Linked DNA regions of Bombyx mori. The protein of the gene in region 2 purifies or fractionates together with the protein of the main gene of each other region. This does not show direct contact. Links are inferred from orthologs where the notes say so. Each region holds a gene or a part of one and is shown on either strand. Other genes may lie near its edges.

The links. Proteins that work in one complex are often made in the same cells at the same time.
Region 1: the proteins of cyclin dependent kinase 5 (region 2) and transmembrane protein 94 purify together in Homo sapiens (affinity purification with mass spectrometry; 5 studies listed by BioGRID and IntAct, with this or other methods). This does not show direct contact. The link is inferred for Bombyx mori from reciprocal best matches to the Homo sapiens genes CDK5 and TMEM94.

The regions. Positions count from the first base shown.
Region 1 is NC_085123.1:3,043,063-3,046,720, forward strand, and holds part of transmembrane protein 94, read left to right. Parts: intron 1-764; coding exon 765-887; intron 888-1,378; coding exon 1,379-1,546; intron 1,547-2,050; coding exon 2,051-2,327; intron 2,328-2,913; coding exon 2,914-3,007; intron 3,008-3,658. UniProt on the Homo sapiens protein: Could function in the uptake of Mg(2+) from the cytosol into the endoplasmic reticulum and regulate intracellular Mg(2+) homeostasis.
Region 2 is NC_085125.1:9,569,069-9,573,356, reverse strand, and holds cyclin dependent kinase 5, read left to right. Parts: upstream 1-1,464; 5' UTR 1,465-1,474; coding exon 1,475-2,132; intron 2,133-3,543; coding exon 3,544-3,782; 3' UTR 3,783-3,826; downstream 3,827-4,288. UniProt on the Homo sapiens protein: Proline-directed serine/threonine-protein kinase essential for neuronal cell cycle arrest and differentiation and may be involved in apoptotic cell death in neuronal diseases by triggering abortive cell cycle re-entry. Interacts with D1 and D3-type G1 cyclins.

The DNA.
Region 1 (3,658 bases), on a different chromosome or scaffold from region 2:
ATTTCTCAATCCACACTAGCTTAGTTAATACATTATAAACTAATTTTTATAGTTATTTATAGTTTATGCATAATATTTTTATACTGTTTCTACTAATTTATTATATGTCTTGCATGCCGCTATGCCCTACCATTAGTTGCAAAACAAGTGGCGTAACCAACCCTTGACGAATTATTGTAAAGGAGTAAGTACAAAAAGTGAAAGTTTTTTAGACGGTCCAATATAATATTTATCCTTTTGACTCACTTGCCTAAATAAATATACCATTTAGTTATTATTGTTTTGATTGAACTAAACTTTTAATCGACAAAGTTTTAATTGGTTATAATTCAATCGAGGGTTATTTCAGAGTTGTATTGAAAAAAAAAAGCTATAAATTTTACTTTAAAAATGCTTTCAAAAATGATTGTATTTGCTTACTTTGGTAAAATTTAGCTAGGCCTATGCTTGGCGATTTGCTTGTAATGAACTCAGAAATAAGAATAATTTTAAGATAGACTATTAAATATTGCTATATAATATATAATACGTAACGTGGGACGCCCCCTGGCTAGGTGGTGCGATGACCTCCCAACAGTGACCGGCAGAAGTGGATCAGGAGAGCCGAAGACCGGGCTCTGTGGTGTAGATTGGGAGAGGTCTATGTCCATCAGTGGACGGCTGTGGGCTGATGATGATGATGATAATGATGATGTAGAGAGAGGCCTCGCGCTCATCATATACCTAGGGGGTCTTGTGAATTAAAATATTCGTTTGTGTCTTAGATGACGCGGGAATCGGATCTGTCACTGTTCACATTAATAACGACGTCGCGTCACTTCATGACGTGCCTGTGGAACTGCACCCAGTTCTGGATATGTAGCGTTTGTTTCATAGCCCTGTTACAGGTTAGTGTGTGTTTGTACTTCTAGACTAACTAGATCAACTTCTGTGTTCGACTAAATACTTTATAGAAGTGTCTTGAGCTTTATGTAATGTGTATTATATGTAATGTGATTTGTCGCAACAAGTATTGGTAGTCAAAAAAAATTATAATTACAGTAATCCCCCCTATAACGCAGTACCTTTATAACGCGTTTTCATGTTATGCCATTTCTATCCCCCATGTATTTTTTTATTACTTAGATGGATGGACGAGCTCACAGCCCACCTGGTGTTAAGTGGTTACTGGAGTGCAGAGACATCTACAACGTAAATGCGCTTGAGATATGAGTTCTAAGGTCTCAGTACAGTTACAACAGCTGCCCCACTCTTCAAACCGAAACGCATTACCGAGACGCATGCTTCACGGCAAAAATAGGCAGGGTGGTGGTACCTGCCCGCGCTGACTCACAAGAGGTCCTACCGCCAGTAAACTCAGAGAATAGATGGTATTTAGACAGGTTCCCTGTGCGGGTTCTTGCCGCTGGCGCTGAGCGTGGGTGGCGCGGCGTGGTGCGGGCTCGTGTCGGTGCCGCACGTGGCGGGCGCGCTCGCCCTTGCCCCCCCGCACCCCGCGCTCTCCCAGCGCGCCGCCACCAGGCCAGACCATCAGCTGAACCTCAAGGTACCGCACAACGCAACTAAATACCCGCCAGCACGTATGTGGTATGGTGATGGATTGTCGCATTCCATCTTGCGCTAATCTTTTATTTATTTATTGCTTAGATGAGTGGACGAGCTAAGAGGTTACCGGGGCCCAGAGACATCTACAACGTAAATGCGCCACCCACCTTGAGATATAAGTTCTAAGGTCTCGGTATAGTTCCAACGGCTGCCCCGCCCTTCACGGCCGAAATAGGCGGGGTGATGGTACCTACCCGTGCGGACTCCACCACCACTAGTTTTATGCAGTTGGAACGTTTGGATACGTTTGCCGCTAGGGGCGCTGTTCCAATTCCATACAAATTTGGGTTAACTTTTACGCTATCGAGAACGTTAAAAAACTCGCACTAAGCACACAGAGCTCGGAACTCGTCTCGCTTGTGAACACACCTAGCGCAGCAGAGCCCCACTCCGGCGACTGGATACGGCTTCAGTACACGACACGTTGTCTCGCCGCTGTCGACAGATGGCGGTGTTCGTGTTCTGGTGCTACGCGTGCAAGTTCGTGCCGGCCGCCGTCTCCATCCTCGTGCTGTACGGGCTGACGCTGCGCAGCTTCTGCGAGCAGATCGCGGCCGCCACCAACGCGACGTCGTGCTGGATCGTGTACCCGGTGAACGTGGGCGCGTTCCCGCCCAGCCACGACCTCACCGCGAGGAGCTGGCACGGCTGGGGCGACGACTTCTACGACGGATTCTATTTGACCCAACATATCGTGCTCGCTTTGATAACTTTGCATTTAAGTGAGTGGTTTTTTTAAGTGAAACTTCTTTAGAATCGTTGTGATTTCAAACTAGATGAAACGAAAAAATAAGTCCATAGAGACACAAACACATAAATGTATAGGATTCCGCCGGCGAGAGAATGAGATAGAACACATTAGACGTTCCGCCTCTTCGTAGCATCCCCACTATCGTCTACTAAACATTGTCCATATGTATGCTCCTGTGTAGTGGGATTGTCAGTATATCTATATCTTATTTATAATTTTCACTTCTACCGTGTGTGACTTGCACACACACACACGCGCTTTTTCTTTTCTTTCTTCTTTCTTTCAAATAGCGGTCCTAAACCTAAACCTCAAGGGTTTCACTTCATTAATCTTCACCGGAGTCACGCAACTTTTTCTAACGCAATTAATAAATGGCATTTAATAGTGTGAGGTACATTGTAGAATAAGGACATCGTTAGTACGATGAATATGTTTTTTTTGTCCTCCAAAATGTTGATTATAAACGTGTTTTTGATTAATAAAATCTCTTATTTTATCCGAAACTCGAGTTCGTGTTTTGAATATTATAATCTCTACAATATCGTGTTCGTTTGCAGTTGTGATCTCATTATCATTCGTCCATCGCTACTCGTCGATATGGCAACGTGGCTTCTGGACCAATCGGGCGTGGACCATCACTGTTGTCGTTCTGTGAGTTATATTCCAATACTTAATTAATTCAATACAATGTCAACGAGTCGTCGTGGCCTAAAGCTAGCTTGAGAGGGTATGTCAGCGTTTTTTTTTTAAACCTAACAAGTAGGTGACAAGCGTAACCTAACAAGTAGGTGAACTCACGGGGCTCAAATCTGACGACGTTGCTAACACGAACTCTAGCAAGAGCCGTGCTTCGCAGAATCTACCACCGGATCAGAAATGCGATCCATTGAGAAGATCTGTGTCTGAGGGTTCATTTACTCGTCGAGCCCTTCACCGCAAGCGACAGGTTCGACGAGAACGATGACCGGTCCAAATGTTGTTGTTCGGAACTTGTATATATGCAAGGCTTTTTTTTAATTTAAACGGCCGTCTGGTGTAGTGGTAAGTGACATGGTCACTACATAAGGGGGTCGCGGGTTCGAATCCCGCCAAGGGAAGATATTTGTATGATAAATATAAATGTATTTTCCAGGGTTATGGATGTATATTAAATATATGTATGTGTATAATAAAAATCTTACATTTATTTCCGTTATCTGGTACCTGTAACACAAGTTCTTTACGAACTTATCACGAGACCAGTTAACGTGGCGTGATTGTTAGTAAATATTTATTTATTTATTTATTTAATGGCTCGAGTCT
Region 2 (4,288 bases):
TTTCCCAGGCCACAAAATCCAAATTCTTCCAAAAAGAAAAAGCATTAGACCTGCGCCTGTATGCTCTAATACTATGATTTCCTTGCACGTTTATAACACCGGTCACTCACATGCGCACGAATACGCAAACCCGCAAGTGTAGGACGACATTTGCAAATGATTATGCAAAGTTTTCGCTACATTCGTGGTTTTCCAAGCTGTGTCGGTTTTTTAACAGACATCAAAGCGCGCGAACCGCGAGCCTTCGCGTAGTCTCCCACACATTCGTTTGCCCAGTTGCGCCGACGATTACGAAGGTAACGGACGTATCGTCATTTTCATAGTTCGTGACGTCTACTGTGTAACGTATCTTCATCAAAAGAAATCCCATAAAAACAGCATGGCTGTTAATGATGTCTGGGAAAGAATTCAAAACTCTTTTTCTCTTCAATGTCTATTGACGAATTAAAAAGGAGGAGAAATTCGTGAGACATTCGTAAACAAGTGTAGGAGGAAGCGCAAACGGGTTCGCGAATTGACTACCGAACCCATTTGCACAGCTGCTAAGTTTGCGAATGAATGTTTGACGGCCCTTCACATGCATAATAATATGTAGATTTATAAGATAGTTGTATGTAGTGTTGGACGGTGAAATTTGAGGGGATTGGGTTCTGTAGGTTGATGAGGGGCTATTTAAAAACACTCTGCTTCATGGTTAATATAATTATATTGCAAACACTTTGTACACTATAACATTATTACAATGTTTTATTTTTTATAAAACTCTTAGATGTTGCTCTGACCGTGTCTAGATGAGAAGTCGTTGTCTTCACTGACGAGAACACAATTATTTATTTTAGACTTTTAAAATAATTCCAATATTCGAAACTGTAACCTTACATGTGTCAACTGTTGCCGGCCATTACTTTCATATTCAAACTCCAACATGTAGTATGTACTAATAAGACAGAGGACTTTTTAGCAGGAATGCGAGGAGTGAAGTTGTGTGAATTGTTTTATTCTGTATATTTAGTGTTTCTTCAGGTTTAAATGTGGTAGTGTGTGATTAATCGTGGCTTATTAACTGTTTAGTATCTGTAAAAGTACACAAATATGGGAAAATAAAACAAAGTCGCTGGACGTAGCTTCTCGGGATCTTCCAAAAAGTCCACAAAAAAGTCTCAGTAAACAATCAACTTTTTACTGAGATTATATTTCACCCCATACTATCTCATCTCATTTAATTTCATTTCATGTCAAGTGATTAACGTTCCAAATTAATCAAATTCATTTAATTTCACTTCATATTATCATTATTCAAAAAATATATATCAAAAGCGTAGGCTGTATAGTAAGATACCTGTGCCTGTCCGGTTGGAAAAATAGAACAACTACTCAAAAATCAGTCAGTCCATAGATTATACACTTAATATAAGTCAGTCTAAATTAAAAACAATCGATCGAACTAAAGTGAGTAAATCTGTAGTTCAAAAATATGCAAAAATATGAGAAACTTGAAAAAATCGGTGAAGGAACCTATGGTACGGTATTTAAAGCCAAGAATAAAGAAACACACGAAATCGTAGCGCTCAAACGTGTTAGATTAGACGACGACGATGAAGGAGTACCATCTTCCGCTCTTCGTGAAATATGTCTTCTCAAAGAATTAAAGCATAAAAATATAGTGCGACTTTACGATGTATTGCACAGCGAAAAGAAATTAACCCTAGTGTTTGAACATTGTGATCAAGACTTAAAAAAATACTTCGATAGTTTGAATGGAGAAATAGATCTAGATGTTGTGAAATCATTCATGTATCAATTACTTCGAGGACTAGCTTTTTGTCACAGCCACAACGTTCTCCATAGGGACTTGAAGCCACAGAATCTCTTAATAAACAAGAACGGTGAATTAAAGTTAGCTGATTTTGGTCTGGCCAGAGCTTTTGGCATACCAGTAAAGTGCTATTCCGCTGAAGTTGTAACCTTATGGTACCGGCCTCCTGATGTATTATTTGGTGCTAAGTTGTACACAACAAGCATTGATATGTGGTCTGCTGGATGTATATTTGCAGAACTTGCAAATTCGGGCAGACCGCTATTCCCAGGTTCAGATGTTGATGATCAATTAAAGAGGATTTTTAAGCTTTTAGGTGAGTTCATCATAATAAATCTCCAAAGTTTTATTACTCTATTCTGAATTTAGGAAGCCTAATTATGATTTTATATTGAAAACCACATAAGGGCTCTTGGTGACAATAAAAAGTCATATCACAAAACTGGTTTAGATCTTAAATTAAATTTGAATGGCCGAGTCTCTGAGCTTAATACCAACATTAACTGCATATAATTATGCAAAAGTAAGAACTATGATTATGTCTGATTGATGCCTTATTTAAAGGATCGGACAGATTATAACAATATGTAAAATAAATTTATTGAATTTTAACTCTCCCAACAAACTAGAGAGTAGGCTTACAATATACCATATCACCATTGCTACTTTATTCTGTTGGGGGCTTAGTAAACAGCTGTCTGATAATTCCACACATACTATTTTCTAGTCAACCCCCTATTAGATTGCAGATTCTGCATAAAAAAGTTAGAAACAATCTATGGGTTGGCATAAAGATTACCGGCCTGACAAAAGTTGTTAGCCTAGTCCTCCAAGTACAAAATAATATAAGAATGTTAATCCCAACACTCACGGTCGAACAATGTCATTAAGTAGGAATAGTGTTTCCTTTCCTATAACTTATTGTAATTGATGAACACTTCGGCATTTAAATAATAAATCATTTTTTTTACTAAAATAGTCAATCATGACATCATGTACCATATTAAACTAAAAAATACATATTATACCATTAAAGTTTGAACATGTGAGTCGTCTATTATCAAAGGTGGCAATCTGTACATTTGGACAAATTTTTTTTATTGATATGTCAATACAGATTTATTTGAATATAATCGTCTCCTTCAAAGAATACGGTTCAAAACCTGCATTAAATAAAGGTTAATAGTTAACCTGTTATTTATCTAAGATGTCGTTCCGAAGAGTTTTGTGACTGCCAATGGAATACAAAGTCAATAATTCGTTTTTCTGATTTACCAATCATTGTCAAAAAGTCAGATTGCCGCCTTTGATAATAGTCGACTCATGTTTCAAATTTTGTGTTGTTATTTAATTTTTTTGCTGAGTCATATTGCAGACCCCTTCTATATATATATCATAAATACTTTAATTAGCAAATGAATATAATTTTCTGCCATCATAAGATTTCTTCTTCTGCATTTCAGAAACTTACGGTAAACATAGTATTTATAAAAATGCCTACAGAGTGTACTGAAGTGTTACAAAATAATAGTTAACTTTTACATATTTTTAGTAAAAATATATAGATTTGTCTAGGAAAATTACATCAAAGCTCTTGCATTGTAAATATTGTGCCATTTGCAAAGACTTATTCATTGACATACAAATAGGAAGTGTGTCACTGGTATTGTATGGGTGTATTAATCTGTCAGTTATCCTTTTTCAATCAAACTATGTTTACTTATCAGGTACACCCAATGAGGACACATGGCCTGGAGTAACTCAACTGCCGGACTACAAACCTTTGCCTGTTTATCAGCCAAGTTTAGGCCTCGCCCAAGTTGTACCAAGATTGCCGGCTAGAGGTCGAGATCTACTCGCTCGGCTGCTCACCTGCAATCCAGCTTTAAGAATGCCAGCTGATGATGCAATGGCGCATGCGTATTTCCACGATCTCAATCCGTCAGTCAAGAATGATCGATGTTAACAATCAATCCATCCGTACAAATGTACGTCAGAACTTATTTATTGTGAAAAGAACTATGATGAAATAGAAGAGTGTTGTGAGGATGAGACTTAATTAGATTTTAAGAAAAGTACTGCCAAATACTGTATTTTTACCAAGTAATTTTAAATACCATAATATTGGGAATTGTTATGTTTCAAATTATATTGATAAGGTTCCAGTATTTGGCTACTAGTGATATTTTTAATCGATTTTATAATTATTACTGAAATGTCCTAAATTAAAATGAAGTTAACTTTATGAACAAATGGTTTACAAATGGACTTTAATAATGTGTAATATGAAAGATGAAATGATGAATTAAAAAGTAAAAACATATAAATATTAAGTATAATATTGATGCGTAAAACATAAATGCACTTTGAAACAAAACAAAATTGATTGTTAAAATGAAACTTATTTATATTTAGCAATGAAAATGTAGAGTCAGATAGCTGACTACATATTTAAAAAACTCACTTTACAAA